Linked DNA regions of Schizosaccharomyces pombe. The main gene of each other region encodes a partner of the protein of the gene in region 2 in a complex. Each region holds a gene or a part of one and is shown on either strand. Other genes may lie near its edges.

Region 1 (5,810 bases), on a different chromosome or scaffold from region 2:
AAGTTCTTCAAAGTACAGATAGGAAATGACTTTTCAGGAGGGTCTTGGGATGATCCGTACGACTCTGTAAGATGAGGTACAACAACTTGCGTATTACCCTTAGTACCCAAAGTACCAGACTCTAATAATGGCTTTTCGAAAAATACACAACGGCGGTCAACATACATTCGAGCTTCGACGTTATCCAAAGCATTCGTGACTAAAGATAACTTTTCAAAGAATTCATCGCCAAATATGCCTTCGCTTTCTGGTCCAACACGTTCTTGATATGAAGTTATTTTACCAGTCAATGAAGGATTCATGATTGAAACAGCGGTAGAAGCACATTCGGACTTCAGCTTTCCGACGTCACGAGGACGAAAGAGAAATTGACGATTCAAATTCGATTTTTCAATGGAGTCCATATCAGTAACAGAAATATGACCACTTTCACCAGTAGCGACACCCATCATAGCCCAGTTTTTCAGCATTTCACATCCAATAGCGCCAGCACCAACCAAAAACGTACTCAAAGAAGCTATTTTCTCTTGAAATTCCGAACCGAAAACAGCGATTTGCCCATCGTATCGACAGCCACGAGGTTTACAAGTTTCTTCACTGATCGTTACAGAAGATGGCAAGCTTTCTAAGGAGTCAAAATAGAAGTATTGCTTCAATGGGTAAAATTTACTGGTGGTAGCTTTCAACACTTCCTGTGCTACAGCACCGCCCAAAAACGCGGACATTGCAACCAAATCACCTCTTGCCTGGTATGAAATTTCCTTAATTAGTTTTTCATCGAGTTCAACATCAAATTGAAGTGTGCTTGCAATTTTCTTACAAAATTCGAAAAATTCAGCTGCATCAATGTCGTTACGGGGTCGAGGCAATGAACCTTCATGCGCATCGGCAAATGCTGAAAGGGCCTGGAAAGCAATGTGGTATTGTGGAGGTCTCATCATTTTACCAAAGTCAGGATATACATATTCAGGGTCCTTGAGCGATTCGCGGAGAGATTTGAAAGATATTTTGGTTGGAACTTTAACTTGGGTAAAGACACCATTGTAACCGGCACTTCCTAAATCTTTAACAGATCCGATAGAAAAGGTATATGGACCTTTCACTTCAACTTTACGAGGAGTGCCATCATTTAAACCAGGCATACCCTTCACTTCGGTAAATTTAACAAAATCACCATTCTCCAATCCATGACGAGTTTCTTCAAGCATGGTAACAACTCCATCATCAGTAATTGAAGCGATCATTCCAGTTAAAGGTTCATTTCCATCAGTGTCAGTACAAATAAAGTTCTCACCAAAATCACAAAATATCGATCCAAAAAGACCACGGCTGTCAGCAGCAATATAAGCAATATGGTTTTTGTGTGTAAAGTCGTTAATTTCTAGCTGTTTCGTAAGAGAAGTTTCTGTGACAACCACGCATTTGAAGTTTTTTAGATACTCTGTTGAAAGTTCATCAACTACAGAAACAGGCACATATTGATTAAGCTCTGCTAACTTTGATACCGTTACTTTTGCACGAGGAACACCAATATCGTCTTCTGTAAGAAAATATTGTGATGATAAGTCCTCAATGCGTGTAGGTTGAGGATCGTAAAGAGTAACGCTTTTTACACCTGCTAGACAAACGTTCTTTGCTATTTCAACGCCTAAACCTTTGCAGCCAATGATTAAGACATTCGACTGACTCATTTGTTTCATAGCCTCATGGCCTAAAACATAACTTTAGATAAATTAGCAAGCGCTCAGTACAAGAAAGAATATAAAAACATAAAGCTAAACCAAATCAACACCGGTAATAATGACTCTTCATGTTTCTAATAAAACTTACAGTTGTCTAGAGTAAAGCCCTTCATCGATAGTATTTTGATCCGTTTGATCAATGTTCATGTTATTCTTTTGCAATGTTAGTAAGAAGCGAAAAATACTTGAATCATTTAAACAAATTACATACACTCATTACGAAACGTGGTGTTGGCAGAGGAGAGTCATACGTAGGCTATAATATAGTGTTTTTATATGTTCAAATAGCGAGCTCTTTCGTTACACATGCTTAACAATTTATTACTCATTAAATTTAAGAGCGCGCACTTGAAGTATGCTGGCTGGATAAAAAAAAATTTTGCACCATTATTCTAAAAGCATTTTTATTTTCCAGCTTACTGATTGAAACGCTTAGTCATTACAAAAATCTTTTAGATGCGATAAAATTGCTTTCTATATGTCATATATACACCGAATCAAACAATATCGTTATATATATTAAGGCATGCAAACGCGTCATCCCAAAACGCGAAGCCACCACTGAAAATCCAGGCTGCTTCTGTATTGTTTTCTTAACGGTACATCAAGGTTAAAACAAATACTCTATAAATCGATGTCAGATAGAAAGAGAGTGTATGGACCGAGTGTATCCGTTCCCCCTTATTTTGAAGAGCCAGAACAACCTGTTTTCACGCGGACTCGTGATGTTGACAGATGTCGAAAAATATGTAAGATACCGATTATTAACATTTTCACTGACAATTAGATCTAAAATTAGGGTGGGCTACTAAAGCTGTCGGTAGCAGTTATTTTGAATCAGAAAAAATAAAAATTGCATGCACAGTCTCTGGTCCTCGACCTAGTAAGACTTTTGCTTTTCGTTCATCAGCAAAGTTGAATTGTGAATTTAGATTATCCCCATTTTCTACTTCTGTTCGTCAGGGACATGTACAAACCGTCGAAGAAAAAAGCTATTCCCAAATGATTGAAGCAGCAATTTCTCCAAGTATATTACTGCATTTGTATCCGAAAAGTTCTATAGACGTTTATATTCAAGTGATTGAAAGTGACGGTGCATTAGCAACATTGGCTGCTGCTATAAGTTGCGCATCAAGTGCAATAGCTGATGCTAACATCGACTGCATAGATTTGGTGACGGGCTCGAGTGTATTATTTAATCCCAATACGGATGAATATTGGATTGATCCTGATTATGTGGATGAGCGTGCAAGGGCTGCTAAAGGTTCTGTAGTTATGGGGTACATGGCTTCTCTTGGTCACGTTACTCAAGTATGGGAAAGAGGCACTTGCTCTCCGAGTCGCCTTTCGTTTTTGACGGAAAAATGCATAAAGAATGCCAAAGATACTCGGTTAGTAATTAATCATGCACTGCTACTAGAGAAGTCGAAATCCGAAGATCCTTAGATATTGGAATTCTACCTCTATAATAATATTCTGTTGATGGCTAATATTTATACCAATTTTACAAATTACATAATCAAATTTATTTCTTTTTAAAATTCTCTTCTATTAGTTGGCAATGCTCAAGTTTTGCCTTTTTTTCCTTAACACACATTTGAAGGGAGACGCTATCTTTTCTCGACAAACAAGCAGATGACTTCCCTAAGTAGATTTTCTTCTTTGAAATCAGCTTGGCCATCCGCAAGTTACGTTTGTTATGAAAAATACGAGTAAATATTAAATTAAAGATCTTAGTTTTTATCACTCGCGAATATATTCAGTAGCCAAACGATTAACTCTTTCCAATTTTTTCCAGTCTATTTATCGATTCCAATAGAACAAAACAAATGCTGAGATTTTATTAATACATATATTTGATACTAATTTATCAAGCTGCATTGAGACGAAAGCATCTTGGTAGTACTAGAATCATTGTTACTCACATACTGTTACCTGCTTCTTATAACCTCCAAATCAGCGAAATTCCGCGTCTTCATCATAGCCAAACTTATGCTCAATTGCCTCGTTTGTAAATTAAAATATATTTAACAATAAGAAGGACGATAAAGAGGGGATTCTTCTATACAATAAAATTGCTTTCATTTAAATTAGGTCATTGATGATTATTAGTTGTTGCTTTTAAAAATTTGATATATTCACGGACAATAGGATAGAACCATTTAAAACGGAAGCTAAGAATCTTTCCAAAAGTCCAAAATAATTTGATTTTATTGAAAATTACTCGAAAACTGCTGAATTTGCGAATTTGCCTTTATTGCAGCAAATTACCGTATTTGAATACTACACTAGCTTAAAATTATTGAGTTCTTTTTTAGTTTTGAAATAAAACTATAAAAAATCAAAATGTCGAGCCCAAGGCGCAGAATTGAGACGGACGTTATGAAGCTGCTGATGAGTGATTACGAGGTAACTCTTGTCAATGATAATATGCAAGAATTTTACGTTAGGTTCCATGGACCGTCTGAAACCCCTTACTCAGGTGGAATATGGAAAGTTCATGTTGAACTGCCAAGTGAGTATCCTTGGAAATCTCCAAGTATTGGATTTGTAAATCGTATATTTCATCCCAATATCGATGAGCTTAGTGGAAGTGTTTGCTTGGACGTGATAAATCAAACTTGGTCTCCAATGTTTGATATGATTAATATTTTTGAGGTTTTTCTTCCACAGCTACTCCGTTATCCTAATGCGTCGGACCCTCTAAATGGAGAGGCAGCAGCTCTATTATTGCGAGAGCCGAATACCTACTATGCCAAGGTTCGAGATTATATCGCTCGGTATGCTAATAAAGAAGACGCTGATATAACTTTGAACGACTCTTCAGATGATGACACCATGTCTTCTATTGACACTGAATCTGGCGATGAAATTGCTGGTCCAATGGACTCTGATTTTTAAATTTCGTTACGTTGCTTTGTTTGATATACATTGATTCTTTTTTGAATTCTCTTTATGGATACTGATTGTGGCATTCAATAAACCGATGGATAGCTAAATCTGTTACACTTTTTTTTCTATTGATGCATTGAATGATTCTTTTTGCATGCTGTCGCTTGCAAAACCCGTTTGAATTTGCTTTCAATCAGTAGTCGTGACAACGATATTTAATAGGTTTATTTTCTTGAAGCTTCAAGTTACTGCAGCATAATTTACGACTATAACTCCATGATGCATAGTTAATGAGAACTAATATTTAAATAAAATAGAAAAAAAATATTAAATAAATACATTGATCATATCTACCTATAAATTAAGCTGAACAATCAGCGCGTTAATTATTTCCCTATCATACGATGGATCATTTTCTTTCTGTCGTATGCATTCAATCGAATGAGATACGTGAGCAGCTAACTGACAGTCAACTTTCGAAACTTCTTGACTACGAAATAAAGAAAGCTCATGGTAAATCGAGTTTAAAGAAATGTGTAAATCATCATCGTAAAAAAACAACATTTTCTTAGCGTAAGTCAACGTTAAAGCATGCAATTGAGAACAGTCTTGCATACGTAACTTTTGTGTTCTATATAACTCAGTAAGAGATTCCCGTAATTTACAATATGACGGCTTTATAACACATTCGTAGGCATAATATTGTAAAGATGATAAGAACCATAAAGTCACCCACAATTGAGTCCATGGTTGAGAAATACCTTTGGCAGTATACTCCTTTCTTTCGTAAAAAAGGGATTTGATTTTAGTTATACTTAAGTGTAAAGAACCTAGTAGTATCCATAAATCGGAATACACATTTAAAGCATTTTTATCCATAAACAAATTGAACGGCCATTTTAAACACAATAACAGTTGCATATTGAGTCCCTCTACATCGATTTTACGATTCTCAGAGCGAATCATTTCATCTTCTTCATCAAAGATACTTACAAGTTTTAGAAAAGATACACATTCTCCATATTCAGTAGCGAGATCAAGTAAAGAAATAGTTTTCCTTAAAACAACGGGTAAAATATCATCAATTACTACCCCTTGAACGTCATTTGAACTGCAATATTCACCACGAACGTCTCTGAACATTTCAGATAATGTTGGAAGAAACTCAACATTTTC
Region 2 (5,650 bases):
TGTGGTTTAATTTTATAAATTTAAAATAACTGATCGTTACGAGATCTATTAGAATTTTAAGTCTTCTTATTATTGATATCTACACCTTTTTTGTTTTGAAAATATATAAATCTTATTTTTTTTCTTTCATTCTAATCAACATCCTTTTTTTTTTTTTGAAATTGTTTTAAATCAAATGTGTATTTCATTATATTGTGACTGATAAAAATATGTTTGCGAAAGCAACATTTGAACAGATTGAGTAAATAGGCTATGATATAGTAAATCTTTAAATTTAATTTAATTCTCAATACCAAATAAATATTTCTTCAAAAAGGGTTACAAATAAATTAGCTATACTGTGGAGTATATGATATATCGATCCCCCTGATGTAACAAATATAACATATAACAATATGTGTTTAAGTATGAGTATATTCAGAATACATTGGAAATAACGAAAATCCAAATGAAACATTAAGCATAAATTTCTGATTTCTAACTTGCCCTTTTTATTTTATTTTATTCATCATAGTTGTCTACTATTCCAACACAAGTTATGATGTTAATGAGTTGCTAGAATGTTTATTTGCGAGACAGTAGTATAAATATCCTTTCGTAGCTGCTGTACGTTATAACGAACAACTTAACTTTCTTAAATTTTTCTCAATAAATACTTAAATTTACATTGAAGAATATAGCTGAAAATAAATAAACTCACGATGGCAATTTCTCAGCCTCTTTAAGTAGATTTGCTTTTATAGTCACTATGATCTACTGGTTTAGTTCTGTGTGCTGCTTCGTCAAAGTTGTAAGTCTTCGCTTAATTATTAGCGAAACTTTATTTTATCAGATAGGGATAATATCCAAGAAAATTGTACTACCAAGCTGCTTTGAGAAGATAATACAAGTACTGAGATGAGTGTAAAAAAGTGCCAAGGAAAACGAGCTGCGCCCTTTAACTTCATCTGTCTATATTCTAAATGCCACCTTTAAAACAAAAATCTAACTTGTCTTATAATGTAAAAACCCTAAAGCTTCGCACTTATGGTGACACATTTAGTACAAATTCTTTCTATTCCATACGTTCTTTGCTGAATAAAGAGCGAAGACCGTCCCCTTTATATTCGAGCCGTCATTAATTTTTCATTCAAAAACTAAGATAGTAAGGCACATCGATAACAATCTAAAGTTGTGAAAAAATTCTTATAAAACGGAATTCTTAAATACTTATTTCTTCCAAATTATTTAAGCAAACCTTCAAAAGAAGAATTATCCTTCAATGATTTAAACTCAACAACTATCAAATGAAGTAATTCAAGAATATAACTGTAGTCAAATATATACATCTATATTCCCCACGTCCATAAGATTTGTATATTTGTTTACAACGGGTATTTTTAGTTAGAAGAACGGTTGCTTGTAATGATGAGGAAGGATTCGTGAGCCGGATATAGCTGGAATAATGTTCAATACCTTTTCCTTTAATAGATCTATTTTACAAAATAAATTTCGTTGATTAATAAAACAAAAGATCATTTAAAAATCGTGCGCTTCACAAATTACTTTAATTTTCTTTTGACACAAGATTGTGTTCCTTTCCAAACTAAAAATATAATTGGGTTACTTCTTATATTGATAGCAAAGTTAGCTTCAAAATTTTAAGACAAAAAGGTGTTTTCAATTTGATTAGTTTATTAAAATTCTTGATTTTTTTGTTTTTGCTGTATGTTTTATAAAAAGTATCATGTCACTTGAAATACATGCTGTAAGACTACCTACTTTTGTTTAGCACTACCATACTGTAATACAACTAATACTTAAATCACTTTATCATGAGTCTTGCTGATTTTATGGAACGTAAGTGTCAAATTTTCAATAGAGAATGAAGTGACTAATATAGATGTTCGTTAGAAAGGGTTCAAGTCATTACAAACGATGGTCGCGTTGTGCTAGGTTCCCTGAAGGGATTCGATCACACGACCAATCTTATACTTTCAGACTCATTTGAAAGAATTATTAGCATGGATCAAGACATGGAAACAATTCCTTTAGGCGTTTATTTATTACGTGGAGAAAATGTGTAAGTGGACGCAGAGCCTTGTACTGGCGGTACGTAAATCAATAATCTAATAGTTATTTTTAGAGCAATGGTTGGATTAGTGAATGAGGAATTAGATTCAGAAATAGAATGGACCAAAATTCGAGGTGAAGCAATACCTGACGTTGTGCATTAATACAAAAACCGGACGTTAAACTTCAAATGAGAACAAACGTTTAAGGCTACATAGGATTTGGGTTAATGATTTTTTTGTTATATTTCCTCTTTGTGCGGGCGAATCCTTTGCAAATTTTGTTAAGCTTTCCACGATATATTCATACCTTGCAGCATGTCTTTTATCAGGAAGCTATTAGCTCGTAGAAAGAAGTGAAAATTCTTTCTTTATTTTTTTAAAAAAATATGACTGAGGTTGTAGATTAATTCTGATGACAAAGAGTTGACACTTGAACGAAAATACTTAAAAAAATGGTTTAAAATACCGAGTTCGAGGACATCGGTTCTTTCAGAATTTAAAAAATTCTTGGTTTCTTGTTAAATTTGTGGATCACAAACTCATTTTTCTTCTTATTTTGTGGGTTTCATCTTTCTTAAATGATTCTTGGGAACGTTAACATACCTTTGTTTCCTTAATTTGATTTATGCACTTTGATTTTGAAATTTGTGGTCAACTTGTTTAAAGACTTTATATTTATCATTGATTTTTGTTATTATATGGAAAAAAACATCACAATTTATATCATTTACTGTGCATAACATTCTTCATTTTTGCTGTCACGCTTAATGTTTACACTGGAAAATTTCTCTACCTTGAGAAATATTTCAGCATCATGGTCCAATTTACAAAGATCATTTGAGTTAAACAAAAAAAATGATTTATTATATTTGCTGCTCATATTTTTTTTTTAGTGATTTTTTATTTTGGCATCGTTTTGTGAACTTACTTTCCAAGCTTTGGGATTATCAAGAAAAAATTTTTGTTGAAAGAAGAGCAGAAAAACTGTTTGATAATTAAATGCCTTTGCAATTTCATTTTCTCAATTTAGCAAAATAAACTGAAATTTCTGCAGCAGTGACTTTAGGTTACATTGTAACCTACAGTTTACAACGACCTTTGTGCTTACAGCAACTTTTTTTCAATTAATTTTTTACAGCCATACAAAACGGACTTGATTCCTTTATTTTTAGTTTATTAAAGCCGTTAAATATGAATTTGGTTCTCCCTGGACAGGTGGTCGCGAGAGGGGCTCCTAACGGTGAAGGAACGGTAAAGAGAGGAGATTATATTATTTCCACACGAACTGGCATCTTTGATCCAGAGAAAAATTCTGTAACGTACCCAAGAAAAGTTGAAGAGACAGCCGTTTTACCTAATGTCGGATCTATTGTTTTAGCTCGCGTCAGCAGGATCAATGCTCGTCAAGCAACTGTAAACATCTCAGTCGTTGACGATGTCTGCACCAAAGATGAATTTCAAGGGGTAATACATGTGCAGGATATTAGAGCTACTGAGAAAAATAAAGTCAAAGTGCAAAATTCATTCCGACCGGGTGATATTGTCAGAGCACTTGTAATTTCACTTGGAGACGGCTCTTCGTACTTTTTAACAACAGCTCGAAATGATCTTGGTGTGATTTTTGCTCAGTCTAGTGAAACAGGAGAGCAAATGTTTCCGGTGGATTATCAGCATATGCAAACAAAATCAGGATATACGGAAATGCGTAAATGTGCTAAACCTATATTAGACGAATAAAATGAGGGGATAAAATTGCTTTGTTTTGATATAACCTGATAGTTTTTTTTCCCTCTCGGTTCGTTCTTTCCTAACAAAAAAAAAATTCTGAAATTGTTAGAGATTTTATGATACGAATATACGGAACACGGATAAAAATAATATTGAATATAGAAATATTGGAAGTTCATTAGAATGATGATTGAGGTGACTTGCTGTCGAAACCGATATCATTTTCAATTAGAAGTCAAATGTATAGTTTTATAAGATATAGAGAACCTTTGTAATTCAACTGAACGGACAGGAGCTCTGAAGTTTCTTAAAGTTATTTACTTAATGGAACTGAATTGGTCGGTTGTTTATAAACTCTAATTCATTAACAAAAACATGAATAAGGAGTTTCTAGCAATAATATGTGTTATGTTTACAACTTTCTAAGAAGGTTACTGTATTAAGTTATTTTGTGTAATTTAATATCGAGGATTGCACCTTTCATTGGAGGCTGTGATATCCTGAAATAACATTTATGATCACAGATTTAAGGATGAAGTATTTAATGACATGAAAATTAGTATTCGTACACCTCTCAGTAACTTTTCAAAACTACTTTCAGTTTTTACATTAAGGGATTGGATGTACTTTTTATACACAGTTTTATAAAATACTAGGTTGTCTCTAAACATCAAGTATCATCTCAATCTTTACTTTCGGCCATTAGACTGATATATTTTATATCAATTAATTAGTAGACAACTGTTTCCAGATTCTCATATAAGCACGAGAGCTTCTATTCTACCCGTCTTTTCCGTATATAGCTGTCATGACTCATTAAGCTACTCCAGCGTGAGACTATCAAATTTAATCTCTTCATCCCTAATATTTGTTTGTAAATACTTATAATTGCAAAATATTCCATTACCATGACATCAAATAGAGGATTCTAAATCCAATTCGCAGGTACACTGACTTTAATGGATTCTGGGCTAGTTCCATAAAAAGGGATTGAAAGGTTTTATTTTCCATATGATAATAGGTTTCAATAATCAGTTCGACAAAAACATCTTTCATTAGCATACTTATTACCTCAAATAGTCGATGTTTAACTATATCAGATGACTATCTTATCAGATTATTCTTCAATCTTAAGCTTAGGATTTCTATAAAAGTTGGTTACAAATACATCTCTTTATGACGAAAATTTACCGAAAAAAGTACATCTGGAGTCGCTCATTCCATCTTAGATAATTTGTTCGAGAAGCTTATAATTCCGGATCGTTTTGTCAGTAACTGTATGATGGGCTGAGATTGTCTTCTAATACGCTGTCTTCACTGGAATGCAAGAGCGCAATGGTTTTATATCTACTAGCTTTGTGATTCGGCGAGAGTTAAGATGTTGTTCCGAAATTAGCCATATGGTGAGTAAACCGTGCTGCAACTAATCTTAACAGATCAATTCTCACTATTTGAATTTGGGAAGGCTTCTAGGCAGCAACTTCCAGACCATCGTAAGTCGGCTTGTCGCTGTGCAGAGTATAAACGTGATGAAAAAGATGTGGAGATAATTCGTAACTTTGAACTCATGCACAGGTTTTTATTATTCGTTGTTGGTATCCTTTAGAAACCCTTGCGATTACTCCAGCTTGCACATCAATCGTATAAATATAGTCTTATTTCTTTCTCCAAAGCTGCTGATCTGATAAAGATTACTTTGATCAAATTGGTCCTGGGTTAAGTAACAATTTCATTTTTGAAGGATGAAAACTCCAAAATTTATCACTTACGTTACTCGTGGTTTCAAAGGACTTGAATCGAAAAGCGTTGAAAACAACAAAGACCATATCGTAGAAAACTCGAGCCCTATCGCCTCGAAATTTCATGAA
Region 3 (5,645 bases), on a different chromosome or scaffold from region 2:
GTTTATCAAATTTTATAGCATTGGGTACTAATTCCTTTTATTATAAATACAATCGTTCTTTTATCTTAGTGTTTATACTTACCTGAGTTTGTGAGTAGCAGCTTTTTTATATATAGTTTTAAAAGTATTCTATTTATTAAAACATCTCATTTGATTAAGTCGAAGTGCAAAGTGGTGAAATTTTATGGTGTTGTGTATATTTTAAAATTGCTTTACTTCAAAAACTTAGAATTTGTTTTTTGGACGAAAATAAGCTGTAGTGGATTGTGTAATGCCTTTTTCATTAAAAAGTATTATTGGAAGTATACTAAGTTAGTATAAGTGTCCATAGTCAGAATACGAGCATAATCGTGTCACTATTCGGTAGGCTATACAATATCTTCACTTGCTGCCAAGTACAACATATATAGCTTGTTTGCTACCAAACACATGTGAGCTTATTCTAACAACTAAGTACATAAGTTTTCTTTTAAACTATTCAAAATGGATTTGTACGATTATATGGCACCTACAACCACTACAGAAGAAGATGATGAAGAGGGATACGAAAAACTGAAAGAAGAAATGGGTTCGGCTCTAAATGTAATTTATCCTTTATGATGATTTACGGCGCGGAATTTACTGACATTTTATACAGAATCTGACGAATGGAAAGTTTGGTTTGTTTTGGAACTCAATGAAAGAAAAGGTGTGTTGATTGCGAATAATGGCATTGTTACTAACCGTTCAAAGAGTGAAAACTTTCTTGATGATACAAAGGGAAAAGCCTCAAGTGGAATGCAGCAATTAAAATCACAGCTTGAAGAAAATATACCTGTTAATTCTGCTATGGAAAACTTGCGAAAAGTAGAAGAAACAGCAGGAAGTTTCTGGAGTGGCTTCGGATCTACAGTGAATGGTTTTTTGGATCAAGCATTGCAGATATCACCCAAAGAAGACGATGTATCGACTCCTACACACGAAGCCTCTTCGTCTGTTTTCTTAAATCGCCACGAGAGACAGTTGTTGGAACTTGTTCAAAACGAAAATACTTTTACCCAAATTATCTCTGAACCCTCTCATGGGATCACGTTTGAAAGCTGGGAAAAAGAAATTTCCATTGATGGGAAAACTGAAGAGATCTCTTTACTTTTGGAAGAATATCCTGATTTAAGGAAACAGATGGAATCTTTAGTACCTTCTGAAGTTTCTTATGATGATTTTTGGAAACGATTTTTTTGGCATAAAGAGGTTGTACAGCCGATAAAGGCAATTCAATCAGGAAACGATGAAGAAGAAATTTTTAGTTGGGGAGATGAAAGAAGTGATGAAGAAGAAAGTGACAATGAACAGGTTAATGATGAAAAAAAGCAATCAAGTGAAGAAGATACTACTGAGAATAATTCAGCAGCTGAAGTGATAGATGAAACCGTCAATGATTTGGAGTCAGCAGTTTCAAAAGGCTTACAAATTGAAACTCAACCCGCAAGCCATGATGGAGAGGTTGATGGAGAAGTTAAAGAAGAAGAGGAAAATAAAGTATCATCTTCCAGTAATATAGAAGCTTCTCAAAGTTCTCTTGAGGTGAAGGATGAAGCAAATAGAAAAGTTGATGACGATGATGAAGACGATGATGACTGGGAATAACGACTCTCGTCAAACTATTAAAAAGAGATATACTGTTTTTACTTCTCTTCTATTCATTTACTTGTTTTGGTGTGTTTTGTTCGTATAGCTAATTATTTGTCTGAAAACATTTTGTTTACGAACAACTCTTAGGTATATTATTAGCGGAATATAAAAAACATCTAATCTTGAGTATGCAGGTTGGAGTAGTAGGACTAGAGCATTAATCAACCTTCTTATAATATTATACATTTACATATACTTTTTGATTGTGAAACTTAAGGAAACCAGGATTTAAAAGTAAATCTGTATGGGTCGACGACATCAATAGATAATAAGTCCCTTAAATAATGAAGATTTTTAAGGAGAAAATGAATTCTGATATCACTTAGCTGCTTTTAGTCTTTTTTAAGTTTCTTCCAGTTGTTGTTTATTCACATCACATAGGCGAAGATCAACAACTCGACCATGAGCAGCACCATCTTCTTCACCAACGAGTGCGTATTGATCAACGATACATTCTAAGCTGCTAAATGGCTTAGTCAATACTTCGGTATTGTAAGCGTTTAGCACAACGTGAATGTAAATAACAAGAACAAATAACCAAGTAGGAATAGCTAGAGCCCACCAACGAGATAGATAATAATGAATCTCAAAAAATTTGAGAACAGGCGCAGGCGTCAGAGCCCAAACAATATACACGCCGAACCCCAACATTGACACCAAATACATCACGAACCCGTAATACTCATAAGTAGGAACTTTTACCATTATATCCCAATCTTGTTGATCAATTTCTGCAATGGCAGTTCCCTCTTCATCAGGCGTTGTAGACCTCGTTCGAAACATCGTAGTCAAAGATGGCGACGGTGGAACCAACATCGGATGTCCGTAAAACGGAGGATCAAAAACAGTAGTTTGCCTTACATCTTCTATCTCTCCTTCAGCAGAACCCTCTATCCCTTTTATGAACGTGGAATGATGAGTAAGTGTCATCCAAACATGTGTTTACTATGTGCATTTGTTAGATGAGAGCGCGTACTGAGATGATACAAATACAACTACGTCTGCTTACGATGTGATTAAATTCGATATCCCTATTAACGACATACATACAGAAAATCCTCGTAAACAGCATTATAGCACAATGTACGTTTGCGTTATTTTTCACAGTCTGGGCTAATGTGATTTATAAAATTAACGAGATTTACAGTATTAGTTTAGACACACTTACCGTCCAAGACATTAATCCTCGAATTATAGTGTATAACTCGCGAAAAATCAAACCCCAAATAGCTAATTTTCTTCTGTTAACCAAATGGCTGAAGTTGAAGAAAAAGGTCTGTTATCTTATTACTTTCCTGGTGAGCGGATACCAGACTCCATAATTAGTCAGGATGGATCAATTCGTTTAGGTCCTGGTTTAGTCTTTCAAAAGAAAGACCGTGAAGAAGAAATAGTGGTCTCAAAAGCTGGGAGGTTGCATCAAACTGGAAAAAATGCTATGTTGATAGACTCACGGACAAAAAGATATATTCCTGCTACAAATGATCAAGTTATTGGGCAAATTATTTCTAGATTTGCGGAAGGTTATCGAGTAGATATTGGGTCAGCTCATATTGCTCAATTGAATGCATTGGCTTTTGAAAATGTGACTCGTAAAAGTAGGCCCAATTTAAATGTTGGAAGCCTTGTGTATGCTCGAGTATCACTCGCTGATCGTGATATGGAACCGGAGTTAGAATGTTTCGATGCTACCACAGGGAAAGCTGCAGGATATGGTGAACTTAAAAACGGTTATATGATAACAGGTTTATCTTTATCTCATTGTAGGAAGTTGATCCTTCCTAAAAATACACTTTTACAGACCCTAGGAAGCTACATTCCTTTCGAAATTGCTGTTGGAATGAATGGTCGCGTTTGGGTCAATTCTGAAAATCTTTCTACTACGGTCCTCATTTGTACAGCTATCAGAAATTGCGAATTCATGTCTGATGAAGAGCAAATAAAGTACTGTAAAGACCTTATTAAAAAGCTCTAACGAGATTCAGAAAAAAAAATTTGAATAATATGCACAGTCTATTTAACAATTCTTGTCCAATTGGGTTTAATTCAAAAATGGTTTGCCCTTATCTAGGAGGGACCATTTCTGAATAAAGTGTATTGTTTCTTCTTTAATGCCTGTGTCTAATATTCCCATACAATTTCTGTCGTTCTTTTATTTATTACAGCAGCGTGTTCATACAATATCTACACTCGTCCTTTCTCAACTGTTTTAATTAAAAAATTACTTATTATAATGCATGAATATACAAATACAGATGCAAAGATAAGTAAGCAATAATTAATGCATGCATAATGAAAATATAATTGTTATTCGTGCTCGTAAATAGTTTTTAAGATCATACCAATTCTACAATCCCAAAAAAATTTCGTATCCAATTATTTCGTAAATCCTTCGACAATTGCAACGACACCAAGAGCGCCGGCATCGGGAACTTTAACATCATCACCAACGTAGACAGCACGTCCAAGTTTGGCTTGCATATCTGCAGTAGCATCAGCACCTTTACGAGCCTCCTCTACGGCAGCATTAAGATCATTAGTTTTAACAAATGTTTCGACAAATGGAACAAGAGCATCACACATAGTGCTGTCACCAGGACGAGCGGGAGTATACTTGAAAAGAGTATCAAGAGCAACCTTCAAACCAGCAGCCCATGTCTTAGATGAAATGTCCTTGCTCTTCTCCAAGGTGTCTTTCATGCCCTTCGCAAAGCCATGGAAGAAAATGGCGTACAAAGCACCAGATGTACCATCCATATTGTCTTCAATAACATCTGCGATATCACGAACAATACGAATAGGATCGTCAGAGAATTTGTCGGATTTAACAAACTTCAAAACACCTTCAGCACCACGCTTCAAAGTAGTACCACAGTCACCATCACCAGCCATCGTATCGAACTTTGTAATTTTAGGCTCTGCTTTGATGAGATTCTCCATCGAATTGACAATCGCCTGACGAACCTTCTCCTTATCGACAGTAACGGGAGACTTGACATCCTTCTGACCCTCCTCGATGCTGACATTGCCAATCTTGTTTTTGGACTTCAAGTCAGAGGGTTGACACAAAGGCCATCCGATAGCTTCAACAGGTTGGTCAATCAAATCAACCAAAGAGTATTCTTCGCCCTCGACTTTGACGCGGTCAGTGGTACGGAGCAAAGTGATACCGAAACCCAAGCCATTCAAACTGGTGGTAAATGGACCGGCAAAGATGCGAACGGGGTTGATTTTGTATTCTTTAGCCAATGCTTCCTTCACCTTGTGGCTAATGGCACTGAATTCAAGCATGGAAAGACCACCAAGGTTATTCATAAGTAAGACTACTTCATCGTCACCCTCAATCTTTACATAGGCACGGTCCTTGTCGGATTGATCCAACATTTGCTTAAGCATCTGAGCGATTAGGTCATCAATAGAGGGAATAGGGGAAATACGCTTGCATCCAGGTTCATTGTGAATACCCATTCCAAGTTCCATTTCATCATGTTTCATTTCATCTTCTTTTGCAATTGGCTCATGACCAGGGACGTGAACGTGAGCGAGTGAAGCACCGATACTAACCAAATTGTCAATAGCAGCCTTAGCAATGGTCGTAACGGCTTCCAAAGGTAACCCTCTGGCGGCAGCTGCACCAGCGATTTTGTGAACAAGAACAGTACCAGACAAACCACGACGTCCGACCTTACCGCTCTTCTTACGACCTACTGATACGTCATCTGCAACGGCAATAAGTTCAGCCTTCTTACCAGCCGTTCTTTGCTTCTCCAAGGCCATACCAAAGTGAAGGATGTCACCGGTGTAGTTTTTGCAAATTACCAAGGTGCCAGCCTCAGATTCGACTTGCTTAATACCGGTATAAATTTGCTTTGACGAAGGAGAAGCAAAAATGGAGCCTGAGACGGCGGCAGTAAGCATACCCTTGCCCACGAACGAAGAATGAGTGGGTTCATGACCAGCACCACCGCCGGAAA
Region 4 (6,670 bases), on a different chromosome or scaffold from region 2:
TTAATGTTAAGATTTTTGAATAAATTCTCCGTATACGTAATCAAAGATTTAGTAAACATGGGGAGAACACCGGGGGCAGCTTCAATTAACGTGACATGGATGTCTTTTTGAAGCTCGGGAAACATATCCTTAACGTCGTTATCAATGAAATCTTGCATCTCAGCTGCAAATTCCATTCCAGTAGGGCCACCACCAACAACAGTGATGTGTAAGAGACGAGCCCGTTCCTCGGGAGAAAGATCTTTATTGAATCGAACTTGTTCCAAGATTTCAAAGATGCGGTTAAACACCTTCTTGGCATCTCCCGCTTCTTTCAGAAAACAGCCATGGTCGCGGACACCCTGGATACCAAATGTTTGATTACCAGCTCCAATAGCAAAAACAAGCGTATCATACGGAATAACCGCTTCCTTTCCCTCGTTAGCTTCGGTCGTACCACGAATGGTAACTTTCTTAGCCGATGTGTCGATGGCAGTGCATTCAGCTTGGTGAATGTTGGAGGGATCAATTTTTCCTTTGAACAAAGCCACAATGGGCTCAGTAATACTTGGAAGTCTCAAAGTACCCACGGTACATGAAGGAAGCATAGGGGTGAATAAAAAATGGTCCCTAGGGCTCACGAGGGTAATGTTGTACAAGGACGGGTCCAAATTTTTGATTGCCGCGACTGCACCCCATCCAGAACCCAAAACAACTATGTTCTTTTTCGGAACACCAGATTTTCCTTTTGGCGAACTGTTGTTCAGTCTTCGTAAGGATTGGAAGAGGGCTACGGCACCCAACATGGACAAAGAAGAAGTAACTTCCGCCATTTCAAGTGCTCGAGAGAAAAATGATTTGTTACGGGGTGTAGGAACATTCCCACTGTTCTTTACAGCACAGGATACATGAAATGAACGAACCATCGTTTTTGAATATGGCACTGTACGAGACAGGCGAACCACAGACTGTAGTCTAGCTTTTGAGACCGACATTTTTTAAGAAAAAAGAAGTAAACAAATTTCCCCTTAAATAGGACTAAGTGATAAGTGGTAGGGAGGCGTGAGTAAAAAAATGTATGAGATAATGACAAATGTTAAAGAGCAAGCAAACTAAAGAGATAAACCCATTCAAAATTGAGCTATTTTACGATATTAATAGACAGTAATAGAAAGAGAGAACGACAACCTTGAGTCCTCTCCTAAATACACAGTGAATTACTATAACTAGCAGAAATAAGCCTTTAGAACTGCGAAAAAAAGGTATCCAATAATAGTTTTACTAGAAAAAATTGTAGTGTATTCTAAAATACCTTCTACTTTACAGAAAACGAGTTTTTCTGCTTATTTTTTTTTTAAGAAGAGATGGGGGAGTGTTGAATGTGGACGAAAGGGCTGCATAGCTGAACATTTTGTATGTAAACAATTAAGGTCTACGAAGCGCCCTAATTCCGTCATCACGGTTATTCATATCAACTTGATTGGACTCGGCAATCAAGTGTGCTGTGAGTGGGGAAAAATAACGCGGAATAAGGTTATCCATAAAAAGTATTACGTGGTAAGAAAAGAATTGCTAAATGTTAGCAACGCACTGTGTTATCACATTTAATGTTACATTGGTAGTGTATGTTATTTGTCCTAAAAAAAGTGATATGGGTGACAAATGCTATAAATTTTGTGGCATGAAGGGTGTAACTCATCGTTGAATCAGCTTATAACTGGACTGAGAACCGGGTCAATTGATCTCTATTCATAAATTGTAGCTAATAGTACCTTCAATCAAAAGTATTTAACTAAATTTATAACCGTCATATTTGGCGAACACATAAAAAAAAGGACATGTGAAAAAATATTAATACCTGCTGTAGTATAATATTACTACATTAGATTACTTTTTAGGAAAAGTTGTGCAACAGTAATTTTTTAGTGTATGGCAAATTCCCAGTTTATGAAGGCAATGCTTTGTCCTGGGTATGAATGCCTTTTATTCACTTTTCTACCTATTTTACCTTCAATGATTTCCTAAACTTAAAATTCAGTAGTATATAAGACAGCTAATGTGTGCGACCTTCCTATGTGTTTTCAAATCGTTTCTCTTAGTTAACAGCTTGATACGTTAGATAGACTCAATATGTATAGAGTAAGTGAGTGAGTGGCAAAATTAAAAAAAAAAGTCATGAGTGTATATACCCAAGGCCTTGTACTGAACGATTGTCTTATGACAGATCTTCTTTTATGATTTAACCCAAATGTATCAGCATACATTGAAGTATTGAAAGAACACATTAATTGCTAGTGAATTGAAAGAATGACAGTAAACCTTCTAATGTAGTAGGATTGTTTAGGTTCTGGTTTCTCAATTAGTAATAAACTAAAATAAATTAAAAATAACCCAATGTATATCGCCCAAGTAATATAAAATCTAAGTATAAAAATGAACAGCCAAAGATATTGTTCAAAGGTATAGTCGTTTAACAGGTACAATGGTAAATACGAAACGAAGGTCCTTGAGATGGACTTTTTACATGCACTTTATTGATTTTCTTATGCAACCACATCCATCTCAACATCCTCTTTGGGGTTCTTTTCATTTTCATGACCATCGCTCTCGTTGTACGTTTCAAAAAGCAATTCTTTCATTTTCTTAGAAACTTCCTCGGCATGCAATGGTGCTGTCTCCAGAACACGGAAAAAATCTTCTTCTGGAATGGGGCCAGCTGTTTCGAGAAAAATTAATTTGGCTGGTTCTGAGGAAATTGAATAACAAATAGTAATAATAGACTCCAATTTGTTAATTGTCCCATCGACATCAGGTTCATCTTGAGTTATTTTGTTCTTCCAGTGACAATTTATTGCACAGGGAATATATTTTAAAGAGATACCTGCGTCCAATAAAGCAAGTACCGCACCATTGATTACGGCAGCCAATGTATCTGTGCCATCTTCCTCTATTATCTGAATTGACACTTGTATAAGTGTTCTTGGATATGTGTTTAGAAATATTGCATCTTCTAGGATACCAACAATTCTGCTAGAAATCATCTTTTCCAAAGTCTCAGCGACACCACTCACAGGTTGAACCAAAACTTCAACGGTGGCCTTGTTAAGCCTTTCGTCCCTGATTTTTACATCAATAGGACCATTGACACCACAAATAACCCTAGCAGAACCTACAATGATGTTAGCATAAAGAAAATTCATTTTTTTTTAATTGGCATTTGCTTGGCTAATATACCGTGGATAATAGCATTACCTTGTTTCCATTCGCTCGAGCCATCAGACCTTGAGAGGATACCTATACGGTTCATTTCAGCTTCTATAATGCAACAAAGTTGCTTGCTTGCAGAGACAGAAGAAACGTTTCTACTTCCTTTGCACAAGTAGGAAATAAGCTAGCTTACACCTCGTTATTCGAAAACAGAATGAGAGCAGAAAAAAATGTATCAATAGTTTGGTGACAATGGGAGTTGTATTAATAAGGGTTTGTAATTAAATTCTTCCAATTTTTACTTTACTAAAGCTGAATGATAGGAGAAACTGGAATGATCTGTAACAGCCCAACCACTAAAAAATTAGAAATTACTCATAGCCATCTTTCAAAATATTTTTTTAAAAATAATACATCATGATATATAATCTCATTATAAAGGAATCACCTTTGTATTAAGGAGAATGAATCCAGGATTGTTTTTTCATTTCTGAAAGTCTACTCAAGCAACGCGTGAAGGTAAATACCTCTTCAATCCCACCAAATGCTCCATGATAGTGAGATTCAATTTTCCCCTTGGCAGCAGGATCAGCCGTAGAGGAAAGTACTTCAGAAGGTGCTGTCGGATATATTTCTTGAACTGGAACTTCAGATGATAAGATGAGTTTTCCATGGGTGTCATAAAGGGCATCAATAAATGTAATGAACCTATGGATAAGGTCTTTCGACTCGATACTCAATTTGGGAATGTCTGAAACGATGAAAACATGGTAACGGCTTGCCAATGAAAGATAGTCGGCAGCGCTTTTCGGTTCTCCACATAATTGTTCAAAGGTGAACCATGCAACGTTGCCACTTGCTTTTGGAACGATTATCTTTCTCCCAAATACTTCAACTTCGTCTTGGTGAGCAGGATCTTTCTCATCAGCGTAGCAAAGAAACCAATTTTCCAAGGCTTTCTTAACTTCTGGGCTATTAGCAGGATAAAGATATGTATCTTCTGTTTTAGATTTTAGGCGTCGGTAATCGTTTGGACTGTCCAAACAAATTACTTGAAGACGATGTTCCAAAAGTTTAATGCAAGGAATGAAGCTCTCTCTTTGTATTCCATTTTTATACAAATCAGAAGGAGCCCTATTAGAAGTAATAAAGATAACAACACCATACTTCATAAGGGCCTCAAAGAGTCTGCGTAGTAAAAGAGCGTCCGCGACATCGGTTACCTGTAATTCGTCAAAACATAGCACTGTTGTTTCTTTTGCTATTCCGGATGCAATATGATCTATAAAATCAATCTCAAACCCATAACGATCTTGCAAATCATGTGAAGTGCGATGAACTTGCATCATAAATGCATGGAAATGAATGCGCTGAGAACGAGTAACATTGGGTGGTAAGTTGTGATAAAATAGATCCATCAAAGCGGTTTTACCACAGCCCACATCACCATATAGATATATACCTTTAGGCATACCCGGTACAGGTAAAGAAGAAGTTAGAGTGGGAGACTTCTTCCTAGAAAACATTTTCTTTAAGGGGGATATCCAAGATAGGATTGATCCCTTTTCAGCTGGCATACTATCTTGCGTTATTGGAGGTTGTGTATACGATTCCAATTCGGTATACAAACGGTTGATTGCTTTAACCGCTGTTTCTTGATACGGGTCACGTTTCCATACGCCGTCATTAACTTTCTTGTTGTATACTTCAATAGGTGTATTATGAAATGTGGTAAAGCGAACTACCCTGCAAACTCCAATGCTTCCTATAGTATCAACAAAAGCAAAACAAGGAGCTGAAACACGAAGCACTTGCAGCATGATGATATGACCAAATTAAATACAAACTTTTGAACAAAAATAATGTTTCGTAAGCTAACTAAAGTAAAGAAAAAAAGTGGTTATTGATCAATTAGTGAATTCATTCAGGAATGATAAAGTGAGAGTGGATATAAAGCTGTAGAACGATTGTAGATGAAAAGCAAAAGATTAGAAAGAAAATATGTCAACTACAAGACGTACTTAGTGATTAAAGACATATGTTTTTAAGTGAATAAATATAAATCGTTGGACAGATGCATGATTATTCTTGCCTCTGAATAGCGTTCGGCAGTGCAGTTTGCTTTTATTATAGTGAATTGCGATGATTTCGGTATATGCGTTTGCGTATTGTCTTAATCATGAGCAAATGTTAATCTGAAACTAGTAAGTCAAGCCTATTTCGTTGGTAAATAGAAACCTGTTCTTAATAAAAAAATTTCTTGTTTAAAAAATTTTAAATTTAATGGAACTAAGTATAAGCAACTATACTTCCATACGATCCCAGATAGGTGGAGTTATTCTGTATATTAGTAAAAAAGTTAATCGCATGGAATTTCAATAATACATTGGAACTCATGTTATTAAAGTATTATTTATTTCTTTTCCATTTTTTGTATATTCAACAAACAATGGCAACTTTATTTTTTGTACTCAATTAAAAAGTACGAGAATAATATTAATTTGGTCAATATCAAGTATTGCTTCAGTTTGTTAATAAGTTTGACAATTGATGTTAAGTGATTTTAAGGAAATCCCGAAGAAAGAAGTTCGTATCGATAGTGAATTTAATTGGTGCTGTAGAGTATGTTTAGTTGAATTCCGTTCATTAGTTTCATAACTATTATTCCAGCAAAACGCAGATATTTATAAAACGCCTATATACGTATTTTTTGTGATTATTTGGTTTGGCTTATTAATATTTCTTATGTTTATTCTTATTTTATTTTATCTTTAGTAGACCACAAACAAATAAATGAATTATATATTAATATACTAGTGTTTACACACAGCTACTGCATGAAGTTATGATCTTGTATGTGTAACAAATGTTGTTAAATGATATATAAAAAAGGAGGGAAATTCTTAAAACGTGATAATAAGGAATACTGAAATGTTTGAGTTAAGAACTTTGAAAGCTTCTTAGTAGATAAAATAAGGCATATGTATTCGCTATTTTAGCATGTGAATTCATGAATGATATTTTAAATTTTCACTAATTACTTTAAAAAAAAGGGTAGTAAGTTGGCTCAGAAATATAAACTGATGCCATTAGCTTAAAAAAAAAAAAGAAAAAGAAAAACTATCTTCATACGCAGTAAAGGCCTTAAATTAATAAACTCTATAAAATTTTTAAGCTCATCTAAGCGAACACCATTCAAATAGTAAAACCGAAGTGAATTGTTAAGGCGATACTTTGTATTCTGAAAGAAGGCAGGCAATAAAGAATTTTAGAAGAAGCACTTAAACAGATACTTCAAATGTTTACTTCCTCAAAATTCCCATAAGTCATTACTTTGTTTGATCTTAGGCATCAACTACGCTAAAGCTCAATGTTATAAAAATATCTTTGAGTAGATGACTGTTTATCCCATAGTATGTACATTATTTGTTCGAAAATTCCCGTTTTTATAAGAGGAAATATTGGCATGATATTAATTACAAAG

What was found.
Region 1: csl4 (region 2) and mtr3 share a complex: the UniProt entries of both Schizosaccharomyces pombe proteins name them as parts of the RNA exosome complex.
Region 3: csl4 (region 2) and rrp40 share a complex: the UniProt entries of both Schizosaccharomyces pombe proteins name them as parts of the RNA exosome complex.
Region 4: csl4 (region 2) and rrp46 share a complex: the UniProt entries of both Schizosaccharomyces pombe proteins name them as parts of the RNA exosome complex.

The regions. Positions count from the first base shown.
Region 1 is NC_003423.3:3,884,845-3,890,654, reverse strand, and holds mtr3 (exosome complex component mtr3), read left to right. Parts: upstream 1-2,337; 5' UTR 2,338-2,376; coding exon 2,377-2,491; exon of another isoform or gene 2,492-2,529; coding exon 2,530-3,188; 3' UTR 3,189-3,750; downstream 3,751-5,810. Other genes in the region: uba1 (ubiquitin-activating enzyme E1), read right to left, coding at 1-1,722, 1,831-1,895, 1,954-1,959; ubiquitin conjugating enzyme Ubc8, read left to right, coding at 4,089-4,643; gamma tubulin complex GCP4 subunit Gfh1, read right to left, coding at 4,989-5,810. UniProt on the Schizosaccharomyces pombe protein: Non-catalytic component of the RNA exosome complex which has 3'->5' exoribonuclease activity and participates in a multitude of cellular RNA processing and degradation events.
Region 2 is NC_003421.2:2,276,088-2,281,737, forward strand, and holds csl4 (exosome subunit Csl4), read left to right. Parts: upstream 1-3,180; 5' UTR 3,181-3,245; coding exon 3,246-3,791; 3' UTR 3,792-4,199; downstream 4,200-5,650. Other genes in the region: U6 snRNP-associated protein Lsm8, read left to right, coding at 1,815-1,839, 1,894-2,062, 2,126-2,216; opt3 (OPT oligopeptide transporter family protein), read left to right, coding at 5,525-5,650. UniProt on the Schizosaccharomyces pombe protein: Non-catalytic component of the RNA exosome complex which has 3'->5' exoribonuclease activity and participates in a multitude of cellular RNA processing and degradation events.
Region 3 is NC_003424.3:1,177,210-1,182,854, reverse strand, and holds rrp40 (exosome subunit Rrp40), read left to right. Parts: upstream 1-2,914; 5' UTR 2,915-2,923; coding exon 2,924-3,646; 3' UTR 3,647-3,999; downstream 4,000-5,645. Other genes in the region: SPOM_SPAC22A12.14C (BSD domain-containing protein), read left to right, coding at 484-582, 638-688, 733-1,626; mug84 (pig-P phosphatidylinositol N-acetylglucosaminyltransferase subunit), read right to left, coding at 2,014-2,601; dihydroxyacetone kinase Dak1, read right to left, coding at 4,048-5,645. UniProt on the Schizosaccharomyces pombe protein: Non-catalytic component of the RNA exosome complex which has 3'->5' exoribonuclease activity and participates in a multitude of cellular RNA processing and degradation events.
Region 4 is NC_003423.3:635,990-642,659, reverse strand, and holds rrp46 (exosome subunit Rrp46), read right to left. Parts: upstream 3,329-6,670; 5' UTR 3,287-3,328; coding exon 3,232-3,286; exon of another isoform or gene 3,149-3,231; coding exon 2,523-3,148; 3' UTR 1,317-2,522; downstream 1-1,316. Other genes in the region: ndi1 (NADH dehydrogenase), read right to left, coding at 1-974; AFG1 family ATPase, read right to left, coding at 3,642-5,006. UniProt on the Schizosaccharomyces pombe protein: Non-catalytic component of the RNA exosome complex which has 3'->5' exoribonuclease activity and participates in a multitude of cellular RNA processing and degradation events.